Linked DNA regions of Xenopus tropicalis. The protein of the gene in region 1 purifies or fractionates together with the protein of each later gene. This does not show direct contact. Links are inferred from orthologs where the notes say so. Each region holds a gene or a part of one and is shown in the gene's direction. Other genes may lie near its edges.

Region 1 (4,919 bases):
TAAAAAATGAAGACCAGTAGCAATTTGTCTCAGAATATCCCTCTCTGCATCATAGTAAAGGTTAACGTGGAAGTGAAAGTGAACAACCCCTTTAAGACTAGAATTTCCTGGTGTGACGCTCTACAGCCAACGTAACTCCCACATCAAAGACCAGCGCCCATTCTATGTTTATTTACTTTGTGTTTCCCCCAGCAACCAAATGGTTAACCACCCTAACCCCAACTGTATTCTCATATCCGTGTTCCCTAAGCAGGCACAGACTGTAGGACGGGGCTCGGGGCCCCTTGCTCTAATTAGCAGCACTAATGACACGCTGACTTCCCTTGTATAAGCAGGTTTTACTTCCTACTGTAATTATATATATATATATGGCCTATAAAGCAGGCTCTATGTACTGTGTATTTCCCTGTATACTTGAGCAAATAGTTGTTAGCCCGTGTGTGATTGGCTGGAGAGTAATAGAAGAACCCCCACCCTATTGTGTAACAGCGAGGCGACCATGTTTCAGGGCTTTTCAGAACAACTTAAAAAGGGCGATATTACTTGGCATCTCCAGCATGACAAGGGCTTAAATATGTGCCTTATTTCTAGTAGCCAATCAGAATGCACCATATAGCCAGGTATAGGATAGTAATGGTGGCTGCAGTCCCCATGATTAAACAGAAGGTTGGCTATATATTCCTTTAAAGGGGTGGTTCACCTTTAAGTATGTTATAGAATTGCTAATTCTAAGCAACTTTTCAACTGGTCTTCATTTTTTGTTTTTGAATTATTTGCCTTTTTCCTCTGCCTCTTTGCAGCTTTCAAATGGGGGTCACTGACCCCGGCAGCCAAACCCTATTGCTCTGTGAGGCTCCAGTTTTATTGTTATTGTTACTTTATATCACTTATTCTTCTTTTCAGCCCCTCTCCTATTAATATACCTGTCTCTCATTCGAACCACTCCCTGGTTGCTAAGGTGATTTGAGTCTTAGAAACCAAATAGCTGCTGAAACTGCAAGCTGCCGAACAAAAAACCTGAAATAATTAAAAATCTACAAGTAATAAAAAATGAAGACCAATTGCAAATTGTCTCAGAATGTTACTCTCTACGTCATACTAAAAGTAACTCAAAGGTGGGCAACTCCTTTACGGTACCAACCCCCTTAGCAATAATGAGTGCAAATGGTTAACATGAAATTCCCTTGCATGGACATAACCAGTTATTATTAGGGCTGCGCCGAATCCCGGATTTGGTTTGAGATTCAGTAGAATCCGTCGGGGTGGGTTTGGGGGTTCGGCCGAACCCAAAAAAGTGGGTTTGCTGCATCCCTAGTCATTATTAATAACATGTATTTATAAAGCGCCAACATATTCCATAGCGCAGTACAATAATGGGTTATATAATTACTTAGATTGTAAGCGCTACGGGGCAGGGACCTCCTTCCTACTGTGTCTCATACCACATGGCACTTTATATATATATATATATATACATCTATATACAGAATGAGGGGCATTTGACACTACACAAGCCCCTCAGCAAGATGGAGCAAGTCTAGAGAGCAAACTTCCTGGCAGCCAATAGAATTGCAGAAGGAGAATCACATGATGAGGTGCGATAGCCGCCAGACTGCAAGTAGAAGGGCAAAATGACCAAACTGAATATTATATATAAATAATAATAAAATATAGAGGTATTACTTTGGCCTCTCATCTCTTCAGTAAGCTGAGGCTTTTATAGGGGAGAGTAATTTCTCAGGCAGCCTACAGAAGGGGTATCCTGCCACAGAATGAGGGGCAATTGACACCACAGAACAGAAGCCCCTCAGCAAGATGGAGCAAGTCTAGAGAGCGAAGTGTCTGGCAGCCAATAGAATTGCAGAAGGAGGATCACATGACGAGGTGCGCTAGCCAGTAGAAGGGCAAAGGAAGCATCACGTGAGGAAGAGTTGCAAGATGGCGGATGGTGTTGCCGGGTTCGGGCCGCGCCCCCAGTTCCCGCGTTGCTCGGTGTAGACGAGACGTTTCCCAGCGCGGCGGAACCCTAGAGAAACGATAGCCGCTTTCTCTGCCTCACACACCGGCGCCTTAGCGAACGGAAGGAACCGCGCGTTCCCGCCTTCCACTCAGAGCGAAAGGAGTCGGGGGCGCGCACGTACCCACCCAGCGCCGCTCCCGCGCACGCACCGCCAGGACCGCTCCCCCGTCCCAGGGCCGCCGATGAGGCAGGAGTGAGCCAGGGCGAGTGTGTGTAAGATGGCGGACTTCCTGCCGTCCCGCTCCGTGCTGTCCGTGTGCTTCCCCAACTGTGTGCTCACCAGCCGGGAGGCCGAGCAGCAGCGCAAGTCCAAGGAGATCGATCGCTGCCTCTCCCGGGAGAAAACCTACGTCAAGCGCCTGGTGAAGATCCTGCTGCTGGGGGCCGGGGAGAGCGGCAAGTCCACCTTCCTCAAGCAGATGCGCATCATCCACGGGCAGGACTTCGACCTGCGGGCCAAGGAGGAGTTCCGGGCAACCATCTACAGCAACGTCATCAAAGGTACCCGGCCCGGGGCAATTGTGTCACTAGTTACCCACTGGGGGTAACTAAACCTGCCCCAGCAGGATACCCCCCCCCCCTCATGTGTAGGAATGGGTTAATTACCCCGGGGAAGGGATTAGGGGGGTATGTAGGGCAATTATAGCAAACCTACCCACAGGGGGGGCACTTAAACTGGGGGTAACTAAACCTGCCCCAGCAGGATACCCCCCCATGTGTAGGAATGGGTTAATTACCCCGGGGAAGGGATTAGGGGGGTATGTAGGGCAATTATAGCAAGCCTACCCACAGGGGGGGCACTTAAACTGGGGGTAACTAAACCTGCCCCAGCAGGATACCCCCCCCCCCATGTGTAGGAATGGATTAATTACCCCGGGGATGTGATTAGGGGGGTATGTAGGGCAACTATAGCAAACCTACGCACAGGGGGGGCACTTAAACTGGGGGTAACTAAACCTGCCCCAGCAGGATACCCCCCCCATGTGCAGGAATGGGTTAATTACCCCAGGGAAGTGATTAGGGGGGTATGTAGGGCAATTATAGCAAACCTACCCACATGGGGGGCACTTGAACTGGGGGTAACTAAACCTGCCCCAGCAGGATACCCCCCCATGTGCAGGAATGTGTTAATTACCCTGGGGACGTGACTAGCCCTACATACCCCCATGTAGGGCAACTATAGCAAACCTACCCATGGGGGTGGCACTTAAACTGGGGGTAACTAAACCTGCCCCAGCAGAGTGCCCCCCTATGTGCAGGAATGAGTTAATTACCCTGGGGAAGTGATTAGGGGGGGTATGTAGGGCAACTATAGCAAACCTACACAGGGGTGGCACTTAAACTGGGGGTACCTAATTGCTCCCCCCCCCCCCCCGCATGCAGAATGTGTTAATTTCTCCGGGAAAGTGAATAGGGGGGTATGTAGGGCAGCAATAGCAAACCTGCCCCATCAGATTGCCCCCGTATGTGAGGTGGGTATGTGCAGGAATGTGTTAATTACCCCGGGGAAGTGATTTTAGGGGTATATAGGGCAACTATAGCAAACACCCACAGGGGTGGCACTTAAACTGGGGGTAACTAAATCTGCCCCATCAGAGTACCCCCCCCCATGTGCAGGAATGTGTTAATTACCCCGGGGAAGTGATTAGGGGGGTATGAGGGGCAACGATAGCAAACCTACCCACATGGGTGGCACTTAAACTGGGTTTACTTAAACCTGCCCCATCAGTGTACCCCCTATGTGCAGGAGTGTGTTAATTACCCTGGGGAAGTGATTAGGGGGGTATGTAGGGCAACAATAGCAAACCTACACACAAGGGTGGCACTTAAACTGGGGGTACCCAAACCTGCCCCATCAGTGTACCCCCTATGTGCAGGAGTGTGTTAATTACCCTGGGGAAGTGATTAGGGGGGTATGTAGGGCAACTAAAACAAACCTATATGTATGGGCTAGGGGTATCTACAGAAATGTCTTCCAATATACCCCAGGGCATTTATCCAAAAATCTACCCCTTTGTTGGACAGTTAGATTGGCGGAGTATCTGCAGCAGCATTATATTTTGTTCCTGGGGGGCGGTTGTGCTAAGGGGCATCAGTAGCCCCGTTACCCCAGGGGTTTGAGTGGCGAGCGCTATATAAAGGTACCCCAGTTCCAGTAGTGGGGGTAATAGTTTGTACATCGTCAAATTTTACCCTTTCAGAGGGGCACGGTTATATTGGGGAAGTGCTTACCCACAGCAGCACTATTGGTGCCACCCCGGGGGTCACAACATCCTTACTAATACCCCAGGGGGCAGGGTGGGACGTGGCACTGAAGGCGTTGACATCACGTGTGAAGTTATCTGGGACTGGGTGACAGTTGCTGTATGTTTACAAGGTACCGGGGGGGGGGGTCCATATTATGGGGCCCCAGTGTTCTCTAGTTACCCCTAGTGGGGCATACATGTGCTTGTTGGTAATGACATCCAAGTGACACCAAAGGGGGCAATTATAATGGGACCTTTGGGTAACCTGTGCAAGGATTAATTAGATCCATGGGGGGAGGGATGTAGATACCCCTGGGGTTTGGGCAGATTTTGCGGAATTTGGGGAGGGGGCAATTGTGTCAAAATGATCAACTTGGCTACCACTGCAAAGTTACCCCCAAAGCTGGGCAGCCCAGAGGGGTGTCATCAGTGGTTCATCTTCCCCTTTAGTAAGTACAGCGTACAGTAATGGCCCCTCAGTGACACTAACCCTTGGATAGGGTAACCGGGGGGGGGGGGGGCATAATGGGGGGCGGGGTTTTGCAGCAGTGACATTAAGTGTTATCCATCATGGCTTCTACTCTGGCTTCATTCAGCTTCCCCAAAGGTCACCAAGGTAACGGGTACACTTATAGGCATGGGGGCATTTATAG
Region 2 (4,178 bases), on another chromosome or scaffold:
AAATAACCCTGTAATATGTATAACATGATGTAGCCAGTGTTAATATCGTACTGAATTTTTGGCACTTTAACATAACTCCTTCCCCCTTGGTTCTGCAATGTTTGTGCCCTCTAACCTCCTTTCCTTTTACTCCGTAATATCTGAGCCCTCTCCATCTCCTCTCTGTACCCTGCCTGTTTCCTGTCTGTTTGTTCTCCAGTTTACATTCCTTCTCCATTTCCTTCTTTGCTTGTTCTCCAGTAGCAGTGCTCTCTCCATCTCCTTCATGCTTGTTCTCCAGGGTACATTCCCTCAAATCCTCAGACTTGTTCTTGTTTCTTTCCATCTCCAACCTCCTTGTTCTTAAGTCTCCATGGCCTCCCTATATCTTCTCTCCATGTTCTCTAAGCTCCTTATCCTCACAATTTCCTCCTTTCTCAGCCTCCGATAACCATGCCCTCTCCACCTCCTCCCTGCTTGTTTCCCAGTCTCCATGCCCATCCACCTTCATCCATCTTCATTCCCTCCCTACATTCTCCCTGCTCCTCCTCCAGTTTCTGTACTCTTTCAGTCACACATTCAGTCTTCACACTCAGTACAATGGCCACTAAAGTTCAAGCTCAATTTAATATTATTGTAATATGTTATTATAATATTTCACAACCTATGCTTATATTTGGGAAAGTCGGCCCCAGTCTGACTTTCAAATTACAGCCTGGTTTCTAGGGTAAGTGGCACCCTAGCAACTAGATAGTAGTATGAATTTAATATTGCAGAGCTTTAGCGCAACATGTTAAGTGATTAAAAAAACATAAAAATAACAATTAGTAGCAAATTACAATAAATATGTTATCATGCTAAAAGTTAATTTTTAAGGTGATAAAAGCCTTTTACTGTCATTGTCTGTTAAATAAGTCTGCCATGTAGTCAGCACCTCTGTCTCTGCAGCATCTTCTGTAAAGCTTGCATTTGTCTTGATTTCCATTGGGGTGCATGGGTAAGATGCATGGTGGCCTCCTTGGGAATTGCACACTTAGGGGCATATTTATTACAGTGTGTAAGCCAATATAACCAGTGATGTTGCCCATAGCAACCAATCAGCAGTTAGAATTGAACAGTCACCTTCAAGTTAGAAAACAAAAGCAACAATCAACCAATCGGTTGGTATGGGCAACATCACCGGTATAATAAATATGTCACTATGTCTGTGTTGGGCATAGCTCTCTGTTTGTTGCATGGCACTCTTTCACAGTCCCTCTGCCTTTATGGGCGTGCTGGGTGTGTGGGTGGCCTCCTGTCCTAGCTTGTCTTCATGCCATGTTTTGTTTTTCCCTTTTTCCGCTCCTCCCCGTGTTTTTCGCAGATGTTGACAGCAGACCATCCAAAGTTGAGCCCGAAGGTACCTTCCGAACCAAACTCACTAATCACCCCACAACCACCTCTCCACATCTCTCTTCTTCCACATCTTCTCTTTGAGGGGAATAAAAATGCAACTCCTTGGTCTAGCAGAAAGGGGTAACATCCCGGCAGCTGAATACATTTACACAGCTTCAGTATAGGATATAGAATATTTCCACTCTTAATGCAAAAGAATGCCCTGTGCACACAGTGAGCTCTCCTCCTCCTATACATTACAGGGAAGAACAAAACATAGCCCTACTTATAAAAAGGGTATTATTTCTGCTAGCAAATCATTAGAGTGCTTATTAGGAGGCAGGGATGTTAAAACTACTACCCCCAAGCTGTTGCTAAAATACAATTTTATTTCTAAAGCTTCAGTCCCATGAAGCAGCTATGTTTGGCGCATTAGCCTCTCCTTCATCCACTTTGATTTTAGCAGCCACACTCTGTCTCCCAGTGCAAGAAGCATAATTAGCTTCATACAGTAGTTGCTTTCCTGCATTCTTGGAGAGACAGATCTATCTTTAAAGGGTACATAATAAGGACCTGCTAAATAGGGTGTAGTTAGGAATAAGCGGGGGCTACAAATATGGACAAGCTGTAATGCTTACTGTCAGTAACCAGCCTTCAGCCTTTCACTTGTTGTTGAAGTAAAACTCCCTGCAACTGCCCCCCCTTCCCATCCACTGAAAGCTGAATTATTTCCCCTAACCAGGTAGAAGTTATGAAGTCAGAATAGAATATAAAAGTAAGTCAGATGCAACCGAATAACAATTAAAACAAATGCTTTTAAGTCCACGTGTTTTTGGATGCTGGGGTTAGTGACATTTATGTTTGCAGGCTGGAGAAAAGGCAGAATGGTGAGGGTAATAATTCAAAAACCATTTAAAATAGACAAAAAAATGTAAAAAATGCTGATTAGTTGAACAGTTGGTAATGATAGGTCCTTGTCTAACTAAGCTAGCACTATATACATAATACTGAAACCGACCCTTTAAACAACAAAAAACATGTTCAGAGAGCGAGGGGCAAACCAGACAGATATCTGTGGCAGCCTTAATTGTAGCGCCACATCTTTCTTTTATTGTGGGTATTTGTGACATTTTAACCCACCAATCCAATTGCCCCGATCCAATGGGACTATAGAAAGGTCAAAGTGTTCCATTAAGAAGATCAGTGCGCTAAACCTTTCTTTGCTCGTCCTGCAGTGAGAGAGAGAGGCTGCCAGTTGCCACGCGGGTGCTTTTCTGCCAACTCTGCACTCTGTTTACATAGTTTAAATCGAATAAGAAAAGCACCCAGGGGATGAAATGAAGGGGGTAATCTGCTTTAAAGGGCAAGTCACAGAGTGCACTCTTAGTGATTGTTTCGTCAATTGGCGCTTTAAGGGAATAAATAGGAGATGTGTAATTTCATTGCTGTGGGACGAAGGCTTTTAGGCCTTTCATCTGATTTCTCTTTCCTTTCTCTAAAACATGCTCTGTCACTTGGGTTGAGGGAACGGGATTGAGCTAAATCTGATCTTTTTACGCTCCTATATCATATACTAATCATTAATGGGATTTTTCTTTTCTGTATTGTTTTATAAAGCTGACAGTGCCCAGAATCTAAGGTAGAGTAATATAATCCAACAGGAAAATAAAAGTATGTGTTCAAAATGAATTAACGTAACTGGGCTTGGAGCCTGTAATATTCAATGTGATTGTCTAAATTGGAAAAGGAGTTAGAATCTGGTTATGGGTGTAGATAGTGGGAAGGCATTTAGCTAATGTAAAAAAAAATAGCCACATTTTGGTTGCTCTTCTGAGAAGTGATAAAGTCTTTATCGTGACCGCTTGTTTTTTTGCAGCTGAGAAGCCAAACCCGGACAGAAGGGTCAGCCAGGGGCAGAGAACTTTTGATAGGAGTGACAGCAGCACAGCGAAATCCAAGAACAGCGAAGGGCCTGATTCTGTGGTGTCTGTAAATATCATCCCCCCTCCTAATGAGCCCAATGATCCTGACCCAGGTAAGTGTGAGGCACAATAAATGAGCACTAGCATAACCAGCACCTGCACTGGAGAGCATAGTTGAAGGCAGAAGGGGGGGGGGGGTGCATGGGTGGTGCCATTAGGATGGTTCTGGAATGGAATATAACTGCAGTCGTTTCTCTCTTTCTCCTCTGAAGCAGTGACTGATGGGGCATTGTCTAATGATGCATCTGAGGTCCTCAAAGGATCCCCCACCACTGAGCATTGCCCAGCAGACCAGACTGAGGAAAGTGCAGAAAATGAAAGGTAAGGCTTACTGGGGTAAAGCACATTCTGCGAGGCTATTGCTGACACTCTTCCGCATTGTGCCACCTTCCCTTCCTTCTGCTTTTGGGCCCTGCAGAGTGACCCAACTTGCTGCCAGGCTCCTGTGGTGTCCTCCGTCAACTTGTTGCCAAGCTCCTTTGGTCTCCACCATCATGTTGTTGCCAAGCTCCTGTGGTGTCCTCCCAAAAGTTGTTGGCTCTTGTGGTGTTCTAAGTCAATTTACTGCCAAGCTTCTTCCTGTTGCAATTTTGCCGCGCTACCTTGCCAGGCTTCTGAAACGGCAAGGACTTCCACTGGGTGCTTTTTTTTAAGCTTCCATGGTCGCCCTGTTCTCTGTTGCGCCAGATATTATTTGGCTTTCTTCCTTCGTTCTCCCCTTCTCAGATGGACACTGCACACAGACACACAGATTACGCTAGCTTGATTTATACCCCTTCGCCACACATCACCATACACCTCTGCCTTGGATCCATACATTTTGCATCCTATTGGCATCACTGA
Region 3 (4,178 bases), on another chromosome or scaffold:
TGGCCATATATAGTGGGGACAGCCAGGAAGAACTTCACCTCGTTATCGCAACTGTAAGTATGTCTGCGATCTCTTTTTCTCCCCCCAGTAATCTCTAGTTGTGTTCCCTCACTTGCGATCCTGCCTCCTGTCCTATCTCTCCCTTCGTTCCCAGTTCCGCCTGCTCCCTCACTTGCCATCAATCGTGCCTCCTGTCAAATTCAGCAGTCAGCAGTCGGGGCTGGAAAGAGTCACGGAGAGATGTTGCGGCTATAACTCACTGCTGGATTTGACAGGAGGCACGAACGATGGCAAGTGAGGGAGCAGGCAGAGCTGGACACGAAGGGAGAGATAGGACAGGAGGCAGGATTGCTAGTGAGGGAGCAGGAAGGGCTCGGAACAGAGGGAGAGCTATGACAGGAGGCAGGGTCACAAGAGAGGGAACTGGAGGAGTTAGGAAGGGGGGGGGGGAGAGAAAAGGTTGTGCTGCTATAACTGACTGCTGGATTTGACTGGAGGCACAATCGCAAATCAGGGAGCAGGGGGGCTAGGAAGGAGGGTGAGAAAAGATCCTGATCAGTCCTGTGAACCTCCTGTAAAATCCAGCTGTTAATTATACCAGCACAATCTTTTGAGTTCCAGCTCCCCTCCACTGAATATTTTTTATCTGTTCCCAGCACAATACTTTTCTGGTAAGGCATCCTAGTGATCCCTTCTCCCCAGCCCATGCCACTGCTGTGCCAATTTTTTCATATTTCATATATTTCACATTTTCTGTTAACCATTACCTTTTTTCCAATCTTGCTGTACCAGAAATATGTTTCCAAAAAGTTCCACATCTTACATTCTTTTATTCCTTGTTCCTCTGTGCCCTTATCCTGTCCACAATCTCCTCTACCTGTTTGCTCCTGCCATTCTGTCCTATATTTATCTTTGCTGCTTCTGTGTGCCATGCTGCCTCCCATCTGTATCCTCACTACTCCAGTGTGCCATACTGCCTCCCATCTGTACCCTCAGAGCTCCAGTGTGCCATACTGCTTCCCATCTGTATCCTCAGAGCTCCAGTGTGCCATACTGCTTCCCATCAGCTACACCTCAGATTTTCAAAAACTGGCAGAAAACATGCAGTGCCAGATTTCACACTAATATTTTGATATTATATAACATTTTAATATAGTGTATATTATTATTATTAAAAATTGTGTTTGCGCTACTGTTCACGTATTGTGTTGCTCACGAACAAGTTTTGCAGCTGAATGTTACTCACGGGGTAAAAAAGGTTGGGGATCCCTGTATTACCTATATTGTAAAAGTGCCACTCACCAAGGTGATTAAAATACCTTTGTTTCAAGAGCAGTTATAAATGATATGCAATGTAAATAACCTATTAAATATAACCATGACAGACTACAGCTGGTCCAGGGTAATATGTATAGATATGTGTGTAACATTTAGTAGTATATGAGGTGTGTGTGTGTGTGTGTGTGTAAGAGTGTTAATATATGTCTCCCAAAGGGGAAGACAAATATATCTCCATGTTCCAGAATATATGCCTGCCTTCATTGTTGCACCCGCCATCATGTATCTGTAAAAAGCAATAGTATATGTTAAATTAGTTTGTCATTATTACAAATTTACTTTCCAAAATTTGTGAATGATCAGGGCAGGTTCATACACTATGTGACCGATACTATTTAATAGAAACTATCTGTTGGTTAAGTATTCATTCTGGGGGTATAGTGTTTCTTATAGTTAAATGCACACCTACCATGGGATAGCTGAATAAGTGTGCTTGAGGACCTAAATAGATTTCATAGATCTGCATTCTTTGTATACTTCTTGTAGATTGTAAGCTCTTTTGGGCAGGGCCCTCTTCACCTTTTGTATCGGTTATTGATTGCTTTATATGGTACTCTGTATGTCCAATGTATGAAACCCACTTATTGTACAGCACTGCGGAATATGCTGGCGCTTTATAAATAAATGTTAATAATAATATACTGAAAAATGCTGTTTATTCACAGCAATACCATACAATATGTGATTCTAACCTATATGAAGCATCTTGGTGTGAAAGTTAAAGAGCCACGAAGTCTTGAACAGAAACGTGGTCGAATTGGATTCCTCCCAAAAATTAAGGTAAATTAAGATATCTTAATCTTCCAGTGTTTTATATTGTCCGCATTAGTATCCATTAATGTCCAGTAGTACCGTAAGCTTTATATGCAGTTAAAAAAAATCGATAAAAAAATCCATATATACAGATATGTATATGCATATACAGATATCTAAGTAAATTTATATCTGTGTATGTACATATGTGTGTATATATCTATATACATATATACAGCTATAAATCACATTTGCACTTTGATGAAAACACTAAAAATATTGTCTACTTATCTGAAATAAGCAAACCTTCTGTTTTGCTCTTGTTTTAGCAAAGTATGAAGAAAGATCGGGAGGGTGAGGAAAAGGTGAAGCGAAGAGGGTTTCCCAGCATCCTTGCACCTCAGAGGAAGCCTAGCCGACAAGATAGTAATGCAAGTACGTATAAATCCTACCAGTCACATTGCAAATTGTTGTCACTAATTATCTAAATATTCCAACCCAGGACCTCAGACTATATGGCTAATTTGGTATTCTCAATAACTGAATATTTGTCTGCATGCTAATGAGGATGATGAGTGTGTATAAGAGAGTGAGCATGTCAAAAACTCCTCCAGGAACAGTACCAATCGTTATATGAAGAAGCAGCATATAAATAACTGGAATTCAGAATAGAGTGATTAAATAATAATGGTTAGCTCTAAAATATAGTTGAGAAACATCTATAATATCTCAGCCTATGTTGGCAGGTATATCACTGATAACCTGTGATGCAGATACTGCTGTTTAAAGGGATACAATCTTTCATTTAAAATGTAATGTTAAGTAAATCCAGCTAAAAAATGAAAAGGTAGTTTCTCAGTTTATATATGAAAAATGTACATCCTTGCAGTTTCTTTCCAGTCAATGTTTCACTGCACAGAATGAGTCTGAAGTGTATATATGTGCCTATTTGCCATGAAAACTCCCTCTGTAAGGCACTTACAGAATTATTCTATGAGTTTATCAGGAGAATACTGCATATCTTTACTTGGGCCTGAATATCCAGTTGGACATTTACCCTTATATGAGCATATGTGCTGGTCATAGTAAGGTTGCAGTAACAACCAAATAAGTGCATATTAAAACTCCATACACAAAGCAGTTGTGTCCAGATTGCTACTTACTAATCTGAATTAGTAAGGCACAGTATTCAGAGGCACCAGAAGAGCCATGGACTTTACATCTGCACTTACAGCCTCCAAGCTTCTAATAGCCAAAATGTTTTAGTGGAACTGGCAAGTAATTAACAGGTATATGTTTAGCAGCTATAGAGTCCTATATTTGATTTCCGCATGAGCAGTACAGGTGTATATTCAAGGAGGTTTTACTTTCTCACCATACATGTTTCAGCTTGTTACTTCTGTTTCCTCATACAATTAGTTCCAAATAAATTAGACCACACTGCGTGTGAATAGGTTGTAAACTTCACTGGGGCAGGGAATTATGTAAATGGTGTATAACCTCTTTAAAACTCTGCAGAATATGTTGGCGTTATGTAAATAATCCATTTTGCCATATAACTTGTACCATTGGCATGAATATTTGTGTCCCCCCCCAACTAGTTCGCCAAATTAATATGGTTCCCGTTAGGGAAAAAATGATAGAAAAACTGGTTTATTAACACTTTTACGATGTCTTGATTTTTATGTTCAGTTGGCAGGGCTATGGAACTTCAGCGGCCACGCCACCCCAAGCACTTATCCACATCTTCATCCAGTAGCCCTGAACCAGCAGATGGAAGTAGATTGCGCACTAGCGGTGGCTCCATTGAGGGTTCTGACACACCGTTCTCTCCATCATCTAATTTGGGTGCAGCATACACCTTTCAGGAAGTTGGCAGAGAAGTGGAAGGAAGTTAGTACCTCTCTTACAAGACAAATTTATAAGTTATTTAATTGCTTATTTTTTAATTGCTATGGAAAACATTAAAATACAGAGTTGCAGGGACCAGTATCCTTAAAACACATCAAATATATTGGTGCTATGTAAATAAAAGGATAATAATATGTGGAATTGTTCTACACTTACATTGCTATATGCTCTTGCTC
Region 4 (4,623 bases), on another chromosome or scaffold:
TTTGCTGATAATTGTCTCTACATGTTTTAGCAGAGGCAATTCTTAGTATTTTCTATGGCAGGGTATTTTCTGTCGTTTAGTAGCCACATCAAGTAGCTGCTACTAAGTAGCTCTGTGTGTCTTCACCCTAAGGGGCACATTTACTAATCCACAAATCCGAATCCCGAATGGGAAAAAATCGGATTGGAAACGACGAAAAAGTCACGGAAAATACGAAAAAATCGCGACGGCGATGAAAAAGTCGCAAAAATACAGATCATTGCGAAAAAAATGCATTCGGATGCTTTCGGACGTTCGTGGATTAGTAAATGTGCCCCTAAGAGTCAAAGACACAAGAGGATAGAGGTCCCTGCCCCATAGAGCTTACAATCTAGATGGGAGGGTAAGAGTCAAAGGCACAAGAGAATGGAGGTCCCTGCCCCGTAGCGCTTACAATCTATATGGGAGGGTAAGAGTCAAAGGCACAAGAGGATGGAGGTCCCTGCCCCGTAGAGCTTACAATCTATATGGGAGGGTAAGAGTCAAAGACACAAGAGGATGGAGGTCCCTGCCCCGTAGAGCTTACAATCTATATGGAAGGGTAAGAGTCAAAGACACAAGAGGATGGAGGTCCCTGCCCCGTAGAGCTTACAATCTATATGGGAGGGTAAGAGTCAAAGGCACAAGAGGATGGAGGTCCCTGCCCCGTAGAGCTTACAATCTATATGGGAGGGTAAGAGTCAAAGACACAAGAGGATGGAGGTCCCTGCCCCATAGAGCTTACAATCTATATGGGAGGGTAAGAGTCAAAGGCACAAGAGGATGGAGGTCCCTGCCCCGTAGAACTTACAGTCTATATGGGAGGGTAAGAGCCAAAGACACAAGAGGATGGAGGTCCCTGCCCCGTAGAGCTTACAATCTATATGGGAGGGTAAGAGTCAAAGACACAAGAGGATGGAGGTCCCTGCCCCATAGATCTTACAATCTATATGGGAGGGTAAGAGTCAAAGGCACAAGAGGATGGAGGTCCCTGCCCCGTAGAGCTTACAATCTATATGGGAGGGTAAGAGTCAAAGGCACAAGAGGATGGAGGTCCCTGCCCCGTAGAGCTTACAATCTATATGGGAGGGTAAGAGTCAAAGACACAAGAGGATGGAGGTCCCTGCCCCGTAGAGCTTACAATCTATATGGGAGGGTAAGAGTCAAAGGCACAAGAGGATGGAGGTCCCTGCCCCGTAGAGCTTACAATCTATATGATATATAGTTACATTTATATAGCACCAGCAATGCACTGCCACACAATAGGAATGTAAATAGCTTCCTGTCCCAGAGGGATTGTATAGGAAAGTGGGGAAAATAAATATACCAGGCGTTTGGGGCTTTGCCTGTGTTTCTGTGACTAGATTTGACAGCAAGGAACACACAAGGGGAAAGCTGCCGCTTCAATGCAGCATTATGTTCTGTCTCTGTCCCCTTCCCTGAAGCAGGCAGGAGGGGAGGGAATTAGTGGGGGGAAAGGAGAGGGAGGGAGCTGAGGGAGGAGAGAGGGGAGGGAAGGGAGGTGGGGAGAGGACACAGAAGAGGGAGGCTCACTTTCCTGCACTCTACCCAGTAGCCAGAGAAGAGGAGGTTGGGGGGGTGAGGGGATCTGCCTAGCCTGTGTGTTTATTGCAGCTCCTGCTTGTATTTATGCAGAAAGGGGGGAGGGAGGGCAAAGAAAGAAAGAAGACTAAAGGCATGAAAAAAGGAAAGAGGGAGGGGATTCCAAGACAGAAAATAACTGATTTTTTCCCTTCTATCCCAGGCTCCTACCCCTGCTCACACACCCTGCACACTGCTGCTGCATGTCCCACTCTGTATTGTATTGGGCTGCAGCATTGGGGGGACCTTTGTGCTTCTTGTAGGCCCCTCTCTCTCCTGCTGCTGCTGCTGCTGCTGCATGGGGAAAGGGGGAGGGGACTGCAGCAATCCAGGCAGGGGGCTCTAGGAAAGCCTGGGGATTTCACAGGCCTAACACTGAACCAAAGGGAGACAGAAAGGACACACTCCATGGATCTGCACTGAAGGAGGAGAAATCCCAAGAGGAACCCAGCCTGGAAGGATCTCCTTGGCTAGCACCTGGGCTGCTCACTTTCTTTTTTTTTTTTTTTTGCACAAAACACCAAAATAGAGGATTTTTTTGTTTTTGTTTTCCACCTTTACCCCATTTCTTCTCCCCCCCCCCCCTTTTTTTTTTTTAATTCTCAGTTTTATGATGACCTAAAACAAAAGCCTTTTTGTTTAGCGCTTTCATTTTATGTATAGCTGGAGCAGCCCTACTCAGGATTATATTATTTTACTGAACGAGGATAAAGGGAAAAAAAAAAACAAAAAACGCCTGTTGGAAGATTGGGGAGGATCAAGAGAAAAAACCCTTAGGATTTTATCTTATTTTATTATTTTTATGCTGGAACCAGGATCTATCCACCTTTTTGGTTGAAAGAATAAGGAACCGTATATAAATATATATTTTTAATTTCTTTTAGTAATTATTATTGGGGGAGAAAAAGCCAGTTTGTTAGGCTGAAGGAGGTGAGACCATGAGAGTTGTGCAGTGCAACATGGGGCTGTGCGTCCCTTTAACATTTAAAATGGGCATTTCAGTGCTTTGAAATCCTATCTATTCTCCTTGCTTCCCTCCTCCTATTATCCTGCTTTTTTTTTTTATTTGCCCCCGAGTTAAAACCTCTGGAATTTTCGGAATATTCTGCTACCATGAGCATCAGTTCTGCACAGACATCCGTAGACCGGTAAATATACTTTCTGCTTATTCTATCTGATCCAATATTAATGCAATTGTATATGTGTCCTTCCTGTGCCGGGCTAAATCACATGGGGAGGATTGTAAAAAAAGAAAAAATCTATACTTGTGTGTAGTGAATAAGGGTTAAGACACACGGAGCTACTAGTAGCAGCTACTTGTCATGGTTACTAAAATAGACAATGCTGATAATTGTCTCTACGTGTTTTTTTAGCAGAGGCATTTCTCAGTATTGTCTATAGCAGAGTATTACTGGGGTTTAGTAGCTGCTACTTTTACTGGGGTTTAGTAGCTCCGTGTGTCTTCACCCTAAAGGGTAAATATGTTAAATCTTAAAGAAATAAGTATTTAAATGTACTCGTGTATAAATAAAAATATGCAGGAATATACTGCATACATGTGTGTTTTATATAAATGTACATATTCAACATTATATACAGACACCGATTTCTATATTATATATATATATATATATATATATATATATATAAATATATATAGAGAGAGAGAGAGTGTATATAGTGATACCACAATTTTATTTACAGATCTAGAATAACATGCAGGCAGATAGCTGCAAAGCTGCAGATCCATATACATTTATACATTAAAGGAAATGCTGCTGCCCCTTTATTATATGTGACAGGTTCTTTTCCACCCCTCCTCCCTTATGGCATTCGATGTGGCCTCCCAGAATTCCTTGGCGATGCAGATATCTGCTTTATAACAGCCCCACTATACTACAGGATATTACTAAAAATAACCCATATTTATAACATGTTTCGGGAAACATACTGTCTGGGCTGTAGGTGTGTGTCGGCTGGCTGCGTCCCTTCAAGTGATATTTTGGGTCTTCCTTCAGGCTTGCACAGTGTTACATTACAATTTTTGATTGGTTATTAGGCCTCAGAATGTGAGGAATTATTTATGATGACTAGGTGCAGAATTGTGCCCATTAAAATGCCAAGAGCCACCCGCTGGCACAACTGGTGCTCATTTATACTAGCAGTTTGCCCATTGGTAATGTTTACATTGGTACATAAGATGGAAAGATAGCCTGTTCCTATTTAATAGCGCCCTATGCCTTGTGCCTGCTTTTGTCAAGCGGTACGTACATGGCTTATTTAGTGACCCCTAATTAACGAGAGTGCAAGTTTATACCCAGTAGTGTAACTAGGATGTGCAGAACCAGAGGCGGCCTTTTGGGATGCTGCCCCCTCACACCCGACGCTTACCTTTCTGAGCGTCATAGAAGTGCGACTGGAAATATAAAAATCAGAATTTTGGCTCTTAAAGCTTTTTGCCTCCCCTGTTAACTTGTGGGGCTACTATCTAAACTTGGGTCATGGCAGCAGCCCCTGTGCAGACCAGGTCTGGACTGGGATTCTGAATAGGCCCTGGCATTTTAAGTGCACAGAGGCCCAATAAATAGTGACTGCCTATGGCATCTTAGGGTGAAGACACACAGAGCTATTAGTAGCAGCTACTTGTTGTGGCTACTAAAAAACAATGCTGATCATTTACTGATAATTGTCTCTACATGTGTTTTAGCTGAGACAATTCTTAGTGTTGTCTATGGCAGGGTATTTTCTGGAGATTAGTAGACATGACAAGTAGGTGCTACTAGTAGCCCAGTGTGTCTTCGACCTTACAGCAGCCCCAGAATCGACAGATTGCCAGTCTGTGCCTGGTGTAGACCCCACAACTAGATGGGGGAACAGGGGACCTGGAAAGGCCTGATGGGGGAACGAGTTTATTTGCAGGTCCCACAATGTGCTTGTGCCCAGGATTGTAATGTTCCCACATAAACAGAGCAGGGGCAGATTGTTTTTTTTGCTGGGGGGGCT

Evidence for each region.
Region 2: the proteins of gna13 (region 1) and arhgef1 purify together in Homo sapiens (affinity purification with western blotting; 5 studies listed by BioGRID and IntAct, with this or other methods). This does not show direct contact. The link is inferred for Xenopus tropicalis from reciprocal best matches to the Homo sapiens genes GNA13 and ARHGEF1.
Region 3: the proteins of gna13 (region 1) and arhgef12 purify together in Homo sapiens (affinity purification with western blotting; 3 studies listed by BioGRID). This does not show direct contact. The link is inferred for Xenopus tropicalis from reciprocal best matches to the Homo sapiens genes GNA13 and ARHGEF12.
Region 4: the proteins of gna13 (region 1) and arhgef11 purify together in Homo sapiens (affinity purification with western blotting; 3 studies listed by BioGRID). This does not show direct contact. The link is inferred for Xenopus tropicalis from reciprocal best matches to the Homo sapiens genes GNA13 and ARHGEF11.

What each region holds. Positions count from the first base shown.
Region 1 is NC_030686.2:50,664,581-50,669,499, reverse strand, and holds the start of gna13 (guanine nucleotide-binding protein subunit alpha-13), read left to right. Parts: upstream 1-1,953; 5' UTR 1,954-2,238; coding exon 2,239-2,521; intron 2,522-4,919. Other genes in the region: regulator of G-protein signaling 9, read right to left, coding at 1,684-1,696. UniProt on the Homo sapiens protein: Guanine nucleotide-binding proteins (G proteins) are involved as modulators or transducers in various transmembrane signaling systems.
Region 2 is NC_030683.2:106,768,858-106,773,035, forward strand, and holds part of arhgef1 (rho guanine nucleotide exchange factor 1), read left to right. Parts: intron 1-1,342; coding exon 1,343-1,378; intron 1,379-3,229; coding exon 3,230-3,388; intron 3,389-3,547; coding exon 3,548-3,656; intron 3,657-4,178. UniProt on the Homo sapiens protein: Seems to play a role in the regulation of RhoA GTPase by guanine nucleotide-binding alpha-12 (GNA12) and alpha-13 (GNA13) subunits. Acts as a GTPase-activating protein (GAP) for GNA12 and GNA13, and as guanine nucleotide exchange factor (GEF) for RhoA GTPase.
Region 3 is NC_030683.2:78,844,370-78,848,547, reverse strand, and holds part of arhgef12 (rho guanine nucleotide exchange factor 12), read left to right. Parts: intron 1-2,003; coding exon 2,004-2,118; intron 2,119-2,420; coding exon 2,421-2,526; intron 2,527-3,783; coding exon 3,784-3,984; intron 3,985-4,178. UniProt on the Homo sapiens protein: May play a role in the regulation of RhoA GTPase by guanine nucleotide-binding alpha-12 (GNA12) and alpha-13 (GNA13). Acts as guanine nucleotide exchange factor (GEF) for RhoA GTPase and may act as GTPase-activating protein (GAP) for GNA12 and GNA13.
Region 4 is NC_030684.2:131,917,614-131,922,236, reverse strand, and holds the start of arhgef11 (rho guanine nucleotide exchange factor 11), read left to right. Parts: upstream 1-1,585; 5' UTR 1,586-2,733; coding exon 2,734-2,768; intron 2,769-4,623. UniProt on the Homo sapiens protein: May play a role in the regulation of RhoA GTPase by guanine nucleotide-binding alpha-12 (GNA12) and alpha-13 (GNA13). Acts as guanine nucleotide exchange factor (GEF) for RhoA GTPase and may act as GTPase-activating protein (GAP) for GNA12 and GNA13.